Drosophila melanogaster: one gene and its partners. The protein of the gene in region 1 interacts with the protein of each later gene in a biochemical or structural test. Each region holds a gene or a part of one and is shown on either strand. Other genes may lie near its edges.

The links.
Region 2: the proteins of Kmn1 (region 1) and Nnf1a form a complex in vitro, tested with the Drosophila melanogaster proteins (2 studies listed by BioGRID).
Region 3: the proteins of Kmn1 (region 1) and Nnf1b form a complex in vitro, tested with the Drosophila melanogaster proteins (one study listed by BioGRID).
Region 4: the proteins of Kmn1 (region 1) and Cenp-C form a complex in vitro, tested with the Drosophila melanogaster proteins (one study listed by BioGRID).

What each region holds. Positions count from the first base shown.
Region 1 is NC_004354.4:11,570,874-11,574,478, reverse strand, and holds Kmn1 (kinetochore Mis12-Ndc80 network component 1), read left to right. Parts: upstream 1-2,036; 5' UTR 2,037-2,080; coding exon 2,081-2,288; intron 2,289-2,346; coding exon 2,347-2,690; 3' UTR 2,691-3,096; downstream 3,097-3,605. Other genes in the region: CG11696 (uncharacterized protein), read right to left, coding at 1-426, 496-621; Reepl1 (receptor accessory protein like 1), read right to left, coding at 955-1,677; CG11699 (uncharacterized protein), read right to left, coding at 3,179-3,310, 3,371-3,605.
Region 2 is NT_033778.4:20,585,716-20,588,972, forward strand, and holds Nnf1a (Nnf1a), read right to left. Parts: upstream 1,524-3,257; 5' UTR 1,459-1,523; coding exon 1,358-1,458; intron 1,302-1,357; coding exon 1,089-1,301; intron 1,015-1,088; coding exon 900-1,014; intron 695-899; coding exon 539-694; 3' UTR 507-538; downstream 1-506.
Region 3 is NT_033779.5:809,025-812,076, reverse strand, and holds Nnf1b (Nnf1b), read right to left. Parts: upstream 1,501-3,052; 5' UTR 1,432-1,500; coding exon 1,319-1,431; intron 1,269-1,318; coding exon 1,056-1,268; intron 989-1,055; coding exon 874-988; intron 819-873; coding exon 645-818; 3' UTR 546-644; downstream 1-545. Other genes in the region: Dbp21E2 (DEAD box protein 21E2), read right to left, coding at 1-441.
Region 4 is NT_033777.3:8,562,155-8,569,764, reverse strand, and holds Cenp-C (centromeric protein-C), read right to left. Parts: upstream 5,661-7,610; 5' UTR 5,511-5,660; coding exon 5,509-5,510; intron 5,437-5,508; coding exon 4,929-5,436; intron 4,868-4,928; coding exon 3,533-4,867; intron 3,470-3,532; coding exon 2,035-3,469; intron 1,966-2,034; coding exon 1,327-1,965; intron 1,256-1,326; coding exon 1,113-1,255; intron 1,047-1,112; coding exon 938-1,046; intron 878-937; coding exon 813-877; 3' UTR 517-812; downstream 1-516. Other genes in the region: CG31460 (uncharacterized protein), read right to left, coding at 6,401-6,822, 6,879-6,882; mRpS18A (mitochondrial ribosomal protein S18A), read left to right, coding at 7,257-7,353, 7,450-7,610.

The DNA of each region.
Region 1 (3,605 bases):
TTGCTGCAGCGCAGTTTTGCGCGGCCTGCCCCTGGGGCGCGGTTTTACCGGATCCGGCTCCGGTTCTTCTTCTTCATCTGGCTGCGATTCCGGCTCGAAGTCCGGTTCAAAGGTGTCGCCATAGTCACTGTCTTTTTCATCGCCCGCGGACAAGGCGTCGATGACGGGTTCGCACAGTATGTGATCCTTGATGTCATCGCCCTCATAGCTGAGCTTTGGCTCGATTGGCGACTCCGTGTTCCACACGACCAGGGCGGGCTCCGGCTCCGTCAGTTCGGGCAGCTCCGGCAATTCAGTTTTCAGCTGCAAGGAGCGGTGCAGCGACCGCTGCTTCTCCGCTACCATGGAACAGAATTGCTCGATCTCGGCCAGCTGCCGCCAGCAGCGGTTGCACAGGCACGTGGACACCACGTCGTTTTCCGCCAACTGAAAGCGAACAATTCAATCATTAGAAAAAAACATCTTTTTGGGGTAGAAAAGTCCAAATCCACTCACCACCAGCAGCAGATGTCGCTCGATCAGCTCGGCCAGCTGGCGATGTGCCGGTTGTCCCATTGGCGGTTCCTGGCCGAAAATGGGCACCCCGTGCTCAGCATCCTCCAGGCAGAGTCGGCATATCATCTCATAAAAGGAAGGACACAAATCCCGAGTCGAATCGCGTTAAATGCAGCTGTTTTTGATTCGTTGCTGAGTTTTGTTATGTGAGCGTTACCGGACCGCGAAAAGAGACCTCCGCGACTGATTGTGCAAACACAAGAAAATAGGCTAGAAAAAATAGCTAAGAAGATAACCAACACATTGGTTCAATATTTTGTGACTAAAATTAATCAATTTAAATGCTTTTTTTGTATAAACTTTATTGCGGTAAGGTTAGTTTATTTCTGAGATGTATGCTTTTTGAAAGCTCTGAACTTTGACAACTTCCGCCTGACATATTGAGGATATCAATTGATGTCACATAAACTGCGACGAAAGATTCATTTCTTGCTGGTTGCTTGATGATGGCTGACGCATTGGCTTCGGCGGCGGTATTGGTCTCTCCTTGGGCTTGGAAATAGGCTCCTTAATAACCAATAAATCAGATTCGGATCCGTGCAGCAGATCCATATTTAAATCGATATTTTCTCCCAAAACCTCGTTGATGGTATCAGATAAGTTACCCATCTGTTTCCGCTTCTCTTCCAACTGCCTTTTGGCTATGGCATCGTTGACCAGATCCTCGATGCTGGGCGTTATTTGGAGGGCAGGACGATGACCGCTGGGCAGGAGATAGCGATCTGCCAAAACCATCAAATGGCTAAGAACGGAGCAAACTTGTTGCCACACCAATTCGCCCCATTCCAAGGTGATACGTCCCAGGACCTGGTCGAAGGATTCGTTACAGCTAAAGGATCGCAGGAACTCCTCGTAGATCACCTCACTGCCGCCGCCCACAGAGGGCAACATCCAGAACAGGAGAAGCACCTTGAACTCACTTAGCAATGGAATAAATGCCAGCAGACCCGCTGTGAAATAATCAAAGGCCACATAAACTCCATAGGCAATCCAGTAGATTAACCATCCGCGAAGATCATTGACGCTACAATTCTGACTTTTCAGGATCTTGTAGGACGCGAATGCTGGATAGAAACAGCCCACCAGAAGGGACAGTATGTGTATCACGATCGCATAAATCATTATTTGGAAATTTTGGATAATCTTAAAATTTTGGATTTTGAGAAAGTATATATATAGCTGTGTATTCGGTTCTCGATTTTGTTCATTTGGTTTGACTACTTGAACAAATACAATAAATTGAAATGTGATTCTAAACGCAAGGCCTGCTTAGCATTCATAAAATGACTTATGCCCTATAACCCTTTTCCCCTTTTTTAGTTCAGCTTTTTTTCAATGAGTATATATCTTTTTATTAATATTAAAAGTGCAATTTTTTATATCGTATATTTTAATTTGTATAAAAGGTTTTGGCTTGAAAAGAGCCAGAGCGAATTACGTTCAAAAGATGTGGCATCACTGGATCAGCGATGGGTGTTGGCAAGCGTTTACGGATTTAAAAACTGAAAACAAACGAAGCGACGCGATGGAGCCAGCCGAAAGTCCAGAAAAATTAATGAAATTCGTACGCCGCAGTGACGTACTGGAATACGTGGGCAACACGAGTGCCGTCGATCTATCGAGCGGTGATCTCTCCGACATCGATCTCAAGGACGTGCCGGCCCAACTGGAGGCCACTTTGAAACCGCGTCGCTATGAAGCAAGCACTTTGTTTAACATTGACCTGGACGATAGTAAGTGCAATCCTTGTGGTTAATTAAATTGCCATTTACTTAACGTACAGACTTTCAGTCTGGGATCCTAGCTGTCAGGAGGACGAGGTGCAGCAGTACAAGGAGCGCGCCCAGAAGGAGCAGCAAAAGTTCTTCGACTTTGTAATGCATGCGGCACTGGACACGGACAATCGCAAGGTTAGCTTCAAGCCAAACAAGGAGCAGCAGCGTTACCTAGATCAGGGACCCAATTTGCAAAACTTCGTGCGAAGCTCGTTGGCTTTCACAAACGCGGCCATCCGATTTCAGGCGGAGCACGAGGACATGATGGAGCTGCAGTGCAATATGGACGATCACTACCTATTCATGCGGAACACCATGATCAACAACGCTATACACCAGAATATGGCCAACCAACGGTGACCCTAAGCTATGCATAAATATACATATGTGAATTGTAGATATTGATAAATTAAATTAAGACTCAGAGATTGTAAGACGGTTTGCTTTTGGCTTATACAGTATAATTCGCTTAGCTGCCTCGAGTACTTTGCACAATGCCTCGATGCAGGTAACTTAAAAATGCAGCTAACTTAATTTTTTTTTTTCTATTTTCTATTTTCTATTCACACAAAAAAATGGAAAAATAATGCAGATATCTTGCCGATGCAGCTAACTATCGATGCAGCTAAGCGAATTATACTGTATTTATTTCTACCCTAATATGTAACTCCCTAAGTTGCACTTCTGATGATGGCTGCCTTTAAGTCTGACCGAAAGAAATGAAAACCGATCAAACGTCTTGAAAACATTGTCTGTATGTAAACTGAAGTTAACAAAGGTTTCGTTTTATGTTCTGGTCTACTCAGGCGTTAGGTCTACTTTAAATTGTGTGTATATTTGTGAGCTGCTTATTCCTTGTTCCAGGCTGCCAGGTATTTCATGAGGTCCGTGAGACTCTCGAAATCGGTGCGGCTGGCTGGTGGTTCGTCCTTGGTGATTCTTGGCAGTGCATTGCCCATCTTGAGGCGGAACTCCTGGAACTGCGAACGAAACGAAAGATTTAAAGCGAAATTCATTGAACAAATCGGAGGCATGCTCACATCCTTGGCTCCGGATAGCTTCCAGAAGCCGTAGCAGAAGGCGCCGGTGCCCATCACGGCGTACAGTGTGCCCCAGCCCAGCGCCCGCAGGGCCAGGGTGGCGCCCTCGTCCATCAGGATCATGCCTTGCCGCGTTCCAGCCTGCTGGAGGACCTTGCTATCCGTCTTCTTGGCGGTGGCCAGCGTGCGCGAGAAGCCGAACAGAGCGGACACCCCGCCCACCAAACCCAGAAAG
Region 2 (3,257 bases), on another chromosome or scaffold:
GTCTCACAAGGGAAATTAAAACGAATCTTTTAAAAAACATCTTTAAATGTATATTATTAGTTACTTTTTGAGGAAGATCTAGCAAAAATTCGGTTCTTTTTTACACTAATACCATTCCTTTGATTTATACTACGCAATCAAGTATGTATGTATGGGAGTGTGTAAGCACACAGCGATTCTAAGAAATCACTCAAAAAACACATGCATACATACATAAGTTTACACATGTTTAGCTAAAAACTTCGTACTATTTATCGTATTCTTTATAGAGATAACTTGAAATGTATGTATATACATTCAATTTTAAAAGATTTTTTGTCGCCAATACAAACAATTGCTCGTTAATATTATGAGCTTATTGCAATGATACGAATTTAAATAAATTGTGAATGTCAATGACAAATGCATGTGTACATACATATGTATGTACATTAATGAATATGCAGATTAGTTTGTATGAATTTCCATTTTAAGACCCCCCACTCAAATCATTAAGCTCATAGCGTAGTATTTTATTTATTTATTGCATTTAAGTTTGTCAGAAGTCGTTCAATGCTTCGCCTAGTTTAATAAGTTCTGTCTTAACTTTCTCGTACTGCGACAATTGCTGCTCCATTTGGACAGTCAATTTCAGGCGCTTGTCATGGACATGTTGGAGTCGCTCGCGATTGGCATTGCTCTTGGCCATAGCAATCTGTAATTGAAATATAAACAAATGTTAGTTATACTGATAGAATAACAAACCTAGATATGTACATATGTATATGCAAATGATAAACTATAGAAATGAAATTATTAAACTAAAAATCTTCTCGAAGGTTCTTTAACTTTAGGGATCTTTTGGTACACTCAAAACAGTGCAGTAATAGTACAAAGATTAACTAATATCCAAATCGCACCTCAAGTTCTTTTGCCTGAGAGGCCAGTTGCTGCTCCATGAATTCCACGCTGAAGTCCAAAAATCGCATGCGCAGCGGCCGAGTGAGTTTATCGGGTGCTGCAGTGTTCACGTTCCTATAGATTACAATAGAGTAGAGTAGAGTTAGCAATGCAATCGAATCGTATTATGTTTTATGCTGCACATGTACCATTTCTTGCCCTCGTAGGCAGCGAAATGTTCCTTGAGCATTTCCAAAGTTTGCAACTTATTTGGCACATCGTTGCTGGCGAAAAAGCATCGGTTCATTTCGAGCACAACCTTGGTCATCAGACTGCGAGTGCGATCTACGATGCTTTCGGTGTCCAGAGCGGATTGCTCGTGCTCCTGGTAAATGGCATCCCACGCTTGCAGATCTGCGCAGCTAGATATTAACGATTTTTAATATTCGTTATCATGTTAACTATGCCTGCTGCTTACCTCAAGTCGGCAAAGATTTGTTTAATGGCTTCCTCGTAGGCCTGTTTCACCTTTGGTCCCACACCCTCGTGGCGTTTAAATGCGGCTTCCGAATCCTCCATTGAAATAATTTGTTAGTAAATTCAAATTGTAAACAAAACAAAACAATGCCACATTGGTGTGACCAGTTGCAAGTTTCTGCAAAACACCAGGCCGATAGAAATTATAGAGTATGGTGACAACCCTGTTATTGGTTTTTTTTTGAGGTATTTCCACTAGCTCTTATTACTCATAAGTCCCTTGTAACATAAGTGATGTTGAAAATATAAATATATTTCATTCAGCGGTATGGTGAGAATATGTGCCTTTTACATTACAATGTCAAACAAAATGAATAAATACCACCGAACAGTATTTTTAAGAATAAGTGTTAAACCACCGTTTTCAACCATCATATATCGATAGTCCAGGTATCGATGACAGGGTGATACGCCATTTTCCAATTCCTCTCTAACTTTTGTGCATTTTAACTCAGCTCTAGTGTGTTTGTGCTATACATATTTTGAATAATATTTTACCAGCCAGTGTTTAGTGGCGGACAAAATCGTGTTGAATACCAATTGAAAGTTAAGTGATTAAGTTCGGTGGCATCAAAGTCTTCGTAGCTGAAGGAAAACAAAGGCATCCCGATAGGTGAGTTTTTCTTCTACAGTTTTTTTTTATCTTTTGCCTGGGGAAACGCGAATGAAAAGCGAATTTGCGAGGCAAATAAACCAGGCTAAAAGCAATGTGTGTGTGTGTTGTGTGGTCTTGTGTTTTCCTGAATACATTTCTAAGAAAAAGATTCGCCAATACATGCCGATTTTTTATAGCAATATAGTGTGATTTTTAACTACACCCCCAAAATCGTTCTTTTGGCTTCGGCGCTTGAGTTTTACAGTTTTTCTTCCTTTCATTTTATTACAACCACCAGGGCACACAGAAATATTCCTAGCTCTCTCTCGCTCTGCCGCCCTGTTCTCTCTGCCTCTCTCGCTTGCTCGCACGCATGCCGGCTTTTACTTAAAGTACAGAGTCGCATAGTTGTTGTTTTTATAATTGGCCCATCGCTTTAGTCGCTTGTTTTGTTTTTCACATTTGCTGTTTTTTCTTTTCTTTTCGTTTCGTTGCTTCCCTTTTTCTTTTATCTCCACGCGGTTACACCGGTGCATAAATTTCATTATAATTCGCTGAGATAAAATCAAAACAAAATAGTTTCGTTGTTCCGAAAGCAAAACTCCCACGCTACAAGACGAGTTCAACGCTCGTTGGCTTTTTACAAATAAGGAAAAGGCCTAACCTATATTTTATTCATAGTTTTTAGCATCAATCGATGAGGTACGTAGAAAACGGAGAGGCAGAGGAAATGGCGAAGAGAGGCTAATGAGAGAGAAAAATACAAATGGAAGCTAACTGTTGTTGTTTCGCTTGTTGGTTGGGTGCAGCTTATTACCACCTACTTGCCTCCCCCCTCTCTTCATTGCTCCTCTTCTTTTCTCTTTGCCCCCCTCCCCCTCATTAACCCATTGGCATTTGCAGCTTTTTAACAACAGCTCTCTTCTTCTTCCGTCTGCAAATCTTCTCAGCAATTCTGCAACTTTTGCTTTTCGTTCTTTGGCGATTGTGACGAATCTCCTTTGTCTCTGTTTAGATTTCCAGTTTTGCGAAAAAATTCGCTTTTATTTGCCTTTTTTGGCCGAGGTATTTTTCGTTTGTTTCTAGCGTTTATTTCGAGTGAAGCAATTCCAAAGATATTTCGCGGCTATTTGCACGCGTTCGTTGACATTGAACTGAATTCTCACGTAAATGTGTTGAGTTCCAAATTGGTCAGCAAACAAATTGTAAATAGTATTGCTTAAAAATTTAAATATATATTATATTA
Region 3 (3,052 bases), on another chromosome or scaffold:
CTCATTTCCATGGACAACGGGCATTCCCTGTTTTTGGATTCCCGTCAGTAATTTGATGCCCAGCTCGACTCGCAAGTTCTCAAGGAGTTGCGGATGAATCTGCATCCCCGTGCTCTCGAGGAACTCATCGACGGTCTGCATTTCCTGCTGGAGTTCCTCACCTCGCACGCTGGCGTTCAGGATGAAGAAGTCTCCCTTGGATTTGTTGTGCAGCCAGCCCTTGGAGGCCAGCGAAAGACTCCCAAACTTGGCATCCGTCTGCTCGTATTGGGTTAAATCGAACTGGCTTCTTCTGCAGGAGATTAGGGGCTCCCCCTTCTGCTTTTTGCCCTTGGACTTTGCCTTTGGTGGCTTCGTCTTAACTGCCGCCGCCGCCGCTGTGGCATATGAAGCCACATGGCGCGATGATTGCACCCGGAGCACCACGGACAAGTTCAGCATGCTTTCGGAATATTATTCAATGTTTTTCATTTGCCGGCAAGTCAGCTGTGCACACGCATCGAAGTGTTGGAAAGCGCCGCTCGAATTCAATGCCACTTGTGGCGGTAAGTTTGAAATTCATATTTATTTCAAGACCCAGCAACTAATATAATAATAATAATAATAATAATAATAATAATAATAATCTGTTTTTTTTTATAAAATTACATTTCTTCCTGCACATACGAATCATTTATTAGCCGTTCCATTTCCATTAACTGTGGCTTAATGGCCTGGTACTCGGCCAACTGCTGCTTCATCATACATCCCACTTTCACCCGTTCAGCGTGGACATCATGTATAAGCTGTCGATTTTTAATGCTTTTGGCCATAGCAATCTAAAATCGAAGTAATCCAAGTATTACTTAATTCTTCGGAGGTTGAAATACATACCTCGAGTTCCTTTTCCTGTTTCTTAAGCTGTTGCTCCATGAATGTGATGCTTAGATTCAAGTTGTGCATGCGCAGAGGGCGAGTAAGTTCCTCAGGGGACAGACAGTTGAAGTTCCTGCGGATTTACGTTAAAAACCATGGAAAGTGCTGCTGGACAACCAAATTCAAAACCATTCACTAACCAGTTCTTGCCCTCGTGGGCGGCAAACTGCTCCTTAAGCATTTCCAGCGTGGTCAGCTTGGTCTCCACGTCGTTGCCGGAGAAGAAGCACTGGTTCACATCCAGGACGATCTTGGTCATAAGCCGACGGGTGCTGTGGATTATTTGCTCGGTGTCCAGGCTCGTGGATTCGTGCTCCTCGAGGATGGAGGCACACGACTCAAGATCTGAGGAGCTAAGCAATAGTAAGCGTTTGGTCAATCTTTTAATCAGCCATTCTCCTACTTTAAATCCGAGAAGATCTGTCCAATGGCTTCCTCGTAGGCCTGCTTCACCTGTGGAATGACAGCCTGGAGCCGTTTGAAGGCTGCTTCGGTGTCCTCTTCAATATTATTCATACTTTTAACACAATTCTGGCAAAATAATAATTACAAGCAAAACTTGGCGACCGAAAACATATGTGACCATTTACAGATAGGTTGTGAATACCAACCCCTATATGACATGATTGTAGGTATAGGGTATTCGAGCTGCTTTCAATTATGATAACATATATATTGTATAAATTATTTTAAACAACGGTTATTGGCTAATTGGTTAAATTCAAGCATCAAATCTGGTAAGTTGGCATTACTTCGAAAACACTCAATATAACATTGAACTCATTTTTTACGCCACATTCAGAGTGTATTTCTCGAACTGAATTACACAACTTTTCACATGTCGCATCGGCGAAGGAACTTGCAACTAACACTCAATAACTGCACTTTTCAGTTTCCCCGAAAGTTGTGCTTTCACTGCAGTTTGCCACATCGGGAAAACTTGCCACAATGGAATTTCCTTTTATCTCCGCTCTTTCGAGAGGGTTTTTAATTTGTGCAACGTTTTGGGCAAATTGTTGAGGCGGGGACGCAGTTTTTAATATGTTTTGAGTAATTTGTGCGCATTTGCGAATTTTTATCGCAGTCACAAAAGTTTGTCCTTTGTGCTCCTTATCGTGTGCTCCTCGTTGGCGCGGTTGTAATGATGACTTTATGACTTTATTTACGTGCAATAAAGGAAGCATTCTGCGGCAAACTCAGGTTTAAGCATCACCGAGCCACTACTTTCGAATATAAATGCGATCCAGGTTAATTTATTCGCTCGCCGGGTCCGGCATTTCCATTATTTTCCGGGTCCGAAAAGGAACTCAGCTGTGGAGTAGGCAGAATTCGAAATGTGCTCTCCCCTGCACAGGAAAAATCATTTCGACATCAATCTTATAACGACCCATAAATGCCACAAAAATGAAAAGGTGGAAAGTTCGAAATTGTTACCCGGAAAACATTGTTACCCATGGGACATACATGTTTTTCAAAACTTGGTGCATACTTTCAGGCACCATTAAGTGAGATTTGAAAAACCCACTAGCATCTTCTCCGTTTCGATACACATTTTCTCTTTGTGTGGCCCGGATCTCAGATATGCTAAATCCCGGCCAGAATCCTGAGCTGTCCCCTCCAGGAACAGAAGCAGAATCAGGAGGCGTGCCAGTCGGTGGCCGTGTTAACATGCATGTGCCACTCTGCCGCATGTCTTGCTAAAACTCGGCTCCGAATTTGCATTTCAATGATTAAAGTGTTAAAATGCCGGCCGACACATGCGGACTGTTCAGGAACCACCGCCCAGGATCCACCCGCCTTCGTCCTTCGGATAGTTGGTAATGGCTTTATAAAGCGAACACCTCAAGCAAGATGCGATTTTAATATTCTTATTCTCGTGCACATGGTGTGAAAAACTTGGAGATGTTGACTTTTTGTGGTGCGACTGGTATGCAAATGAGCCTAAATTCTGAGACAAAGTTTTGCATACTTTTCTGAATTCTGAATTCTGAATTATACCAATCCAAATAACTATGCATTTCTCACACTGTTTGCGCTTGTCCTGCTCAAAAGAGAGAATATGCTTTCCCCGAAAGTCTTCTCTTTAATTAGTGAAAATGTTAAGTTCTGAAAAAATACTTCTTCTTAATAAACTCAT
Region 4 (7,610 bases), on another chromosome or scaffold:
CTGAAAAATTCCGATTCAATTGTCTGTGCACACTCGGCGAAAATATGTGAACCGAGAACATGTGCAAGCATGTGAATATAAAATATTTAGTTTTTTAGCTTCCCATTAACATATTTTAAACCAATCAAGTGAACTAAAGAATATATATAAGATTATCTATATATAAAATCGTTCTATTAATTCCTTTTATTTGCAAGGTATTTTCCGGGAAACTCGTAATAGAGTGCGGCGTGTGGGATGATCAAAGGGTTGACACTGCTGTAATGAATGTTAGATGGTGTTTTGTTAATTTTAAACGATGTTCCAAGTCCCGTGTGGGGATGCAGGCACTGGCACACCTGCCGGAAAAGTTTCTGTTGATTCAATTTTTGTTTTGTTTTTTTTTTTTTTACAAATTTATGTTTGTGTTCCTGCTGCGTGTGATTTGTGTGTGTGCTTTTTTAAAAATTGCCATACAAAGCAGACGTGCAGATTGTTTTGAAAGTTGCCTGCTTATTTGTTCTTTCTGGCGTTGTTACCCCTGTTTGCCATTTCGCTTTTGAAGTCTCCAATGCCATCAACATCACGGCGAGCGACTTGTGAATTTCAAAGAAAATGGAAATAAAATGAACTTGAAATTCTAAGCAGCTAGGATATGACCCGAAGTTATGGCGTGGGTCTATCACCTTTGCTACTTAAAATACATGAAAAAACTATGTCGGTCTTACATATTTTAACAAAACAACTCTTTATTATTTTTATTTTCTGTGGCGAAAACGTAAGAAATATAAATCGGCTCAATACTTATCCGTATATAAATTACAAAGCAATTACTAACTGCGTATACACATCAGCACACTGACTTTATCTATCGCATTTTGAATACTATACCTAGTGCCTAAGGAAGAAAAGAAACATTCAAATAATATATAATAAATATTATTCAGCAATATCTTACCCCTATCTATCTCGATCATGTCACCAACACGCAGAACAGAATGGACTTCCTTCTCTTCGCCCACGGCTAAGGTCTCCACATTAAATTCGCCAAATTGCACAAGGAGTTTCTAAAAGCAGAATAGGTTTTAAAATGATCTGCGAGTTGAATGGGAATAATCTTATATTTTACTTACAAGTGGATGGACTTTCGCTTGTTTCATGCTACGTTTTTGGTATGGCTTGAATCGCATATAACCCAGCATTGCTTTCTCCTTTGTATTGTAGAAAGCGTAGTCGATACCATCTACCTGACAGAAAATCAATTCGTTTGCAGAAGCTGGCAATGAAAAATAGCAATTATTAATAAATAAGCTATATGGATTCAATTTCTATAGATTTTACACTTACAGACACTGGCGTTTTCATCCGACATACTTGCACTGGGTGGTGCATCGCCGACGCCACGCAGCCACTGCATCAGTTTAGTGGAGGCTTCTTCCTGCTCGTCTCTCAGGGGAGTTGAAAATACGACGGGACCTAGCGCAGCTTCCGTATAAGGCGCCTGCTCGTCAGGAACGTCAGGCTCTTCCTGATCGCTTGTAAGTGGAGCAACCGAAGATATCATAGGCTCTGGCTCTGGTTCTGGCTCAGCCTCCGTATCAGTTTGGACACCTCCAACTGCCTTCTTTGGTCGTCCCCTTTTCTTGGGCACCTTCTCAGCCTCTGCTTGCACTTCAGTTTCTTCCCACGTCAAGGTACTCAGGCCAAGGGATTCGGAATGCGGTATGGCCCCTGGCAGCTTTTCAGAAATTCTTGGGGTACTGCTGCACAATGGTCCCCGGTTGTCGGGTAAGTTCTTCTCTACAGTAGGCTTTGGCTTTGTGGCACTGGCTTTCTTCGCCTTACTCAAATTTCCCTTTTTCGTCTTTGAGTTTTTGCTGCGAGGCTCTATGAAGCCACTCATAAAGTTAAACTTGCTAGGATCCATGGTGTGACACCAACTCATCTGAAGTGGAACTTGACCGCGCTTTGATCTCCGAATACCGGCTAAGGGAGCAGAAAATAATAGAGCATACATTTAATTTTATCAAAACATTTATTATTGAATATACTCACTAGTATTTAGTTCCTCAGCTTCCACCGGCATTTTGGCCAGCTTTAATTTGTCTACTTCAGACTTCCCTTTTTTTGATTTCGCCCTTGGTGCAGGTGCCAATGGTTTCTTGAACACCACATCCGCGCTTGATTCATCCGGGGGACGACTCTTTGACATGTTCTGACTACGCTGCAAAAACTCCAACGCCGCTCTACTCGTGCTGGGTACGTCGTCAGACAAAAGAGTCCTACTGGGAGATGGATTTCTGCTGGGAACATCATCTGAGTTTTGATCAATCGGAGGAGTGGGTGTGTTAACGCGAAGTGATTCCATAACGTCTGATGATTTCTCGGTACATTCTTCCCCTCGATTGCTTAGAGCTACGGATTTTTCTGTACCAACTGCATTCTGGCGGGGATTTGAGAGTTTCTGGGACTTAGATGAACGATTGGCTAACTTATCATTTTCTTTGCTTTTTGATGCGTTCTGGTGATTACGATTCTGTTTGTTACAGGACGAATTCCAATTTGGATCTGGACCTTCAATACATTCTAATGTATGTGATGCCATTTCATCCTTATCGCTCTTTCTTCTAGTGACATTTTTATTTTGAGATTCCTCTTTTCCGTATTCTTCATTGTAAATTGGTTCCTCGTCACTGTCATAGTCTTCGTTATTTTCGTACGAAGGTGCAATAATTTGTTCCTTATTGGACTTTTGTACACTCTGTTTGGAGTGCTGCAATTTTTTTCCACTTCTCCTCAGTATACTTGCTTGCCCATGGTCACTATCGTCGTACTCTGGTGGCTCTGGCGGTTCACAATATTCTACTGCGTTATGTGTATTTCGATCAACAAGATTGCCATTTTTCGTCGATCTCCTTGATTGCTCATTGTTGCGATTCTCTTCTTCAACATATTCGATAGGAGGTGGTACCAGTTCGTTCTCCATCGCCCTTCGTCCATTCTGAGTGGATTGTTGAAGTTCTTTGGCTGTGCAACGCGGCTGGCTTGGTCGCTCATCATGTTCTTCTTCCTGGCCCCCTTCGTACCCCGGTGGAGGTAAAACCAGGTCATTTTTATTGCTCTTTCGCCCACTTGTGCTTCTGCCCCGTGTATTTACAACGTACTCTGGAGGCGGGGGAGCAATCTCAATTGCATCACTATTTACACTATCATGGAAATCTGGTGGGGCTGCCATCACGACATTATCGAAATCAAATTTTCCGGAGCAGGGCAGATTTTGCAAAGATTGCGAATAGCGCAGTGAAACTGGAGGTGGCGGAACAATTTGGATGCTCTTGCTTAGTCTTGGCAATTTTACAGGTGATAATGAATCGTTATCTTCATGGTCCGAGCTACCCTTTGTGTACAGACAACGCTTGCCGTCCTTTGAAGATTTGCGTCGAGTCTCTAAAGTCTGGGAGAGACCCAAATAGTTTACCAATTCTGTTGTCTGCAAAACGGGGAAAAAAGGTTTTTTTTTTCCTTCGCAACATATAAGCGATCTTGAACTTACCATTGGAAGATCACGACGAGTAGATCGTGGTCGCCCTCGTCCCTGCGATCGATCATTGCTTTTAGTTCGAAGACTTTGTGTTTTTGGCGGAACCGGTATATAGTCTTCATTCGAATCATCCGAGGACTGTTGTTTTGGCAAACCTTCGGCCTCATCCATTAGATTTCTACGTAGCAGCTCCCTCTGAATCTCTTCTTCTAGGATAAGCTTCTCTGAACGATGGTTTCTGTGCCCATTTAAAGGATATATCTCGTTCAACGAGTTGCGCTTGCGCAAATCCAAAATCTCGTAGTTGCTCATCCGGGTTAGCTCGCGGGCAAACTGCTCGCCATTAATGGGGGCACTTGGAGCCTTATTCAGCGGTATAGCAGTCTTTCGCGGCTTTGACTTTTTGGCATTGACCGACTTGTGAAGGTTAAGCAAGCGCATAGAGCTCTCCTGAGATTCGATTGTAGCTCGAGCCCGATTACTACTGCGCAAACGCCGTTGCCGGGTTGTGTTCCCACCTGAAGGAGCTAGATTTAATGGCACAGTGCTGGGATGTTCGTCGCTTTCGTCGTCGGTCATTATGGCATCCATATTTTCTTCCACCCGCGGCAGTTGTGCAATGGATTTCTGGGGAGAGGCAGCGGCGGATCGCCTAGGAGAAGGCGCAATCGGTGGTGAAGATAACGCCGTAACTGGCGAAGTCGGAACAGATTTCATTGCGACAGCGTCCCTTCTTACACTACGATTCGAATTGGATGTGTTTATCACCACAATTGGGCTGATCGCGCTGCGCGACAGAGTCTGCACCAACTCTCCCAGATCCTGCGGCTGGGTTTCCGGCACTACGAACTCCGGTTGGGGCTCTGATTGCCAGGCTGGGTCGTGACTTTGTCGCTCTGGCGTGTCCGGGACCATTAACTCCTGATTGAACCGCTTTGCCTTAACTACTGGCATTTTGCTCGGTGTGTCATAGCGATGTGATGGCGATAGCAGCAGCTGGCCTGGAGCTGGGCCCTTTTCCATTGTGTAGGTACGTCGTAGGCCCGCAACGGATGGTGATGACGGAGTAGGGGGTCGCGAGTACGGTGCCCGTCCAGAATAGTCCAGCTGCAGTACATTCTTGTGAAAGGAACTCTGTCGCTCTTTGCAGATTTGTTCAATTTCAGCTGCAAGAATAGGGTTCCTGGCAGGTGAGGTCACCTTTGTCTGCAGCGGATTTTCCGGCTCTGGTTCTTGTGATAGTTCCATAGGTTTTTCCGCTGGTTTATCAGTTTCCACTCTTGTTGTATTTTTGGCAACTTCCTCTTTTTGTTTCTCTGTGCAAGGTGTGCTGCTTATTTCTGGTAACTAAAAGAGCATTGTTGTTAGTACAAGGATTAGGTATTTGTGGGACATGTATTTAACATACGAAGTTTACAGGACTTGATATGCTGCGGGTCAAGTTTACGGTCTCCTCAAACTCTGGAAGCAATTGGCGTCCACAGCTCCTGGACCGCCGGCGGATGGCATGTCGACGTAGTTTATCAGATCCGGGTACATTTCCACTGCGGCGCATGGAACGTCGGTTATTGGGCGACAATGTTGGCGATCGACGCGGAGGCACGTTCTCATTGGGGGCCTGGTCCACAGGCGGCTCATTGACTTTCTCGGTGGCGGCACTGTTTTTGCTGACCAACTCCCCAAGGGGCTGTACTTCTGGTAGTTTGGACTTGGGCTTAGCCTGAGACTTCTTGATCAGTGGAACCTCGAAATCAAGGTCAAAGTCAAGTTTGAAGTTTCCAAAGAGATTGTCATTCTGTGCCGGCTTATTTTCGGCAAGCTTGCGCATCATAAAGGCGGCGAAGCGCTCCTTGTCCTTCACTGGCTGGCTTAGGATGTCGTCCAGCTCCAGAGTGTCGTTGTTCTGGGGCTTCGACCTGAAAAACAGACGGGTGAGCTCGGAGTTTGTATGTTCTCTTGCCTATGGCATGCTCGCGGTGGCAACTTACATATTTGCAATTGAAACTTGAAAAAAGGATTCTTCACGAAGTTACATACACGACAACAATAAACTTAACTTATTTCGCTAAAACTCCACAAAATTTTAAACTACAAAAAAGACGCGACGCTATTCATTTGGCGTTGCCAGTAACGTCTGTAGGCGCGCCTAGGTGGGGTGTTGCCAGAGCGCTCGAATAGACTATCAGAAAAGAGCTATAAATATCTAAAAGTTTCTTTGATAATAATAAGACATCACCCTGTATAATTACAAATGCATGATGCAATCGTTTTTAAACAGTTATTGTTAAATACAGCTGAGTTTATTTCAAAAGTTTTTATTGAAAATATACTCGAAAGCGTTGACCAGCAGGCAACCATTATATGCAGTATTTCATTACTAAAATATACTAAACGCGTAAAACGCAAGCTGGTCACACTTTGCCGGCAATTTTTGTTGACAAAACAAATCCAAAATGTTTAAAGCAAACTAAACCGACTTTTCAGATTGATCTATTTGTTCGAATTCACTTTATAACAACTGGAAGCAGCTTTGAAAAGCAACCAAAAAGTGGAGCTATACATTTTCTGCGAGAAGGCATGCAATAGAGACGCTGTGAAAACGACTTTGCGTTCGAGGTTTTGATTCTGTTGGAAAAGGATTACGATATCCATATAACCAGAGATTGGAGTTTTTTAACTGAATTCATGAATTCCCAATAAGATCCCCTATTCCACAGCACCAATACTCAGTAGTATAAGGCTGGCCAACTGTAATAATGGAGCTTGGATAGCTTCAAAGTGACCGATTGACATGACTTTATAAGTTAGTTATTTATTAAAGGTTATTAAAGATTAGGTATTCGAATGTGTTAGTAATGAAATAAGAAGCAGACGAATGGTTCATTTGAACTTCTTTCCGCCCTTTCTCGTCGTAGGAGCATCCACGCTGGGCACCTGAACGGAGTAATACTTCGTGGAGATCCTGTTAAGGAAGTAGAGCCCCACCAGGGAAAAGAGAACACTGGTGGTGGCGCAGACACGATGCACGAGTCCCGCGGCGGCCACCGTGAGTGAGAGACAGAAAATAATCTCTGGTAGCAGCTTGGCCTGGAAGTCCTGGCCGAAAACAACCATCTCCGCGTTGGAGACGCACGTGAGGCTCAGGATGAACACCCAGGAGAAGAGGTATCCGCCCAAAAGGACCCTCAGCTGCGAGTCGTTAAACCATTCTGAGCAGAAACGCAGTGTGCCGAACAAAACAATGCTCAGGAGGCCCGAGATGATGGAGGATACCACGGTGCTCTTACTGCTCACTGAAGCGGCTGCAAAGGTTCAGAGTTTAGTTTTTGTTGGCCGTAATTTCCTTGCATTTGCTTACACATATTACTTTTTCTTCCAGCCGGCGTCTTTCTTATACGTGTAGTGAATTATCGAACTATCGAAACTGATATTTGATAATACAAGGGATATTCCAGTATGTAACGACTAAACAAAGTTTTATTCGTTAGGCAGGCATTTTTCTCTATTTTTTTTACGTATTTACATGAAAAATTCTCGAATGACAAATTTGTGCTTGCAATAAAAATAAAAACAGATATCGTTATTTAAATACTGACATCGATAATTTTTTTTGAGAAGTAATATTTAAATCAATTGATGTGGCAACGCTGCGGCTTTCGTGGTGAATGACATTTGTAGTAACAACATTACACTTGAGCACAATTTTAATAAATTGTAAATAAAAAACGCCTTCAACATGTCCTTTGTGTTGCAATTGGCCACCAGGACAGTACGAAGTACCATTGCTCAGGTGCGTGGCGTAGCCACCACAATGCCAAGGCAAATAAAAGAGAGTGAGTTACAGAGACCTCTGTGAAGTGTTTCATAACCCCTCAAATAAATGCACATCTTTAAAATTAATTCGAATTTCTGTTCAATGCCTGTTCCAGTTCATGAGAAGCAGGAGAACAGTGTAAAGATCTTCGAGGGCGTTAATGTGGAATCGCCGCGTGCTCACCTGATGCTTAAATCCGCCTGCCAGACCAAGTTTTGCCCGGAATGCACCTTGGGCCTGGACATCAAGCACACGGATGTGCTAATCCTGTCGCAG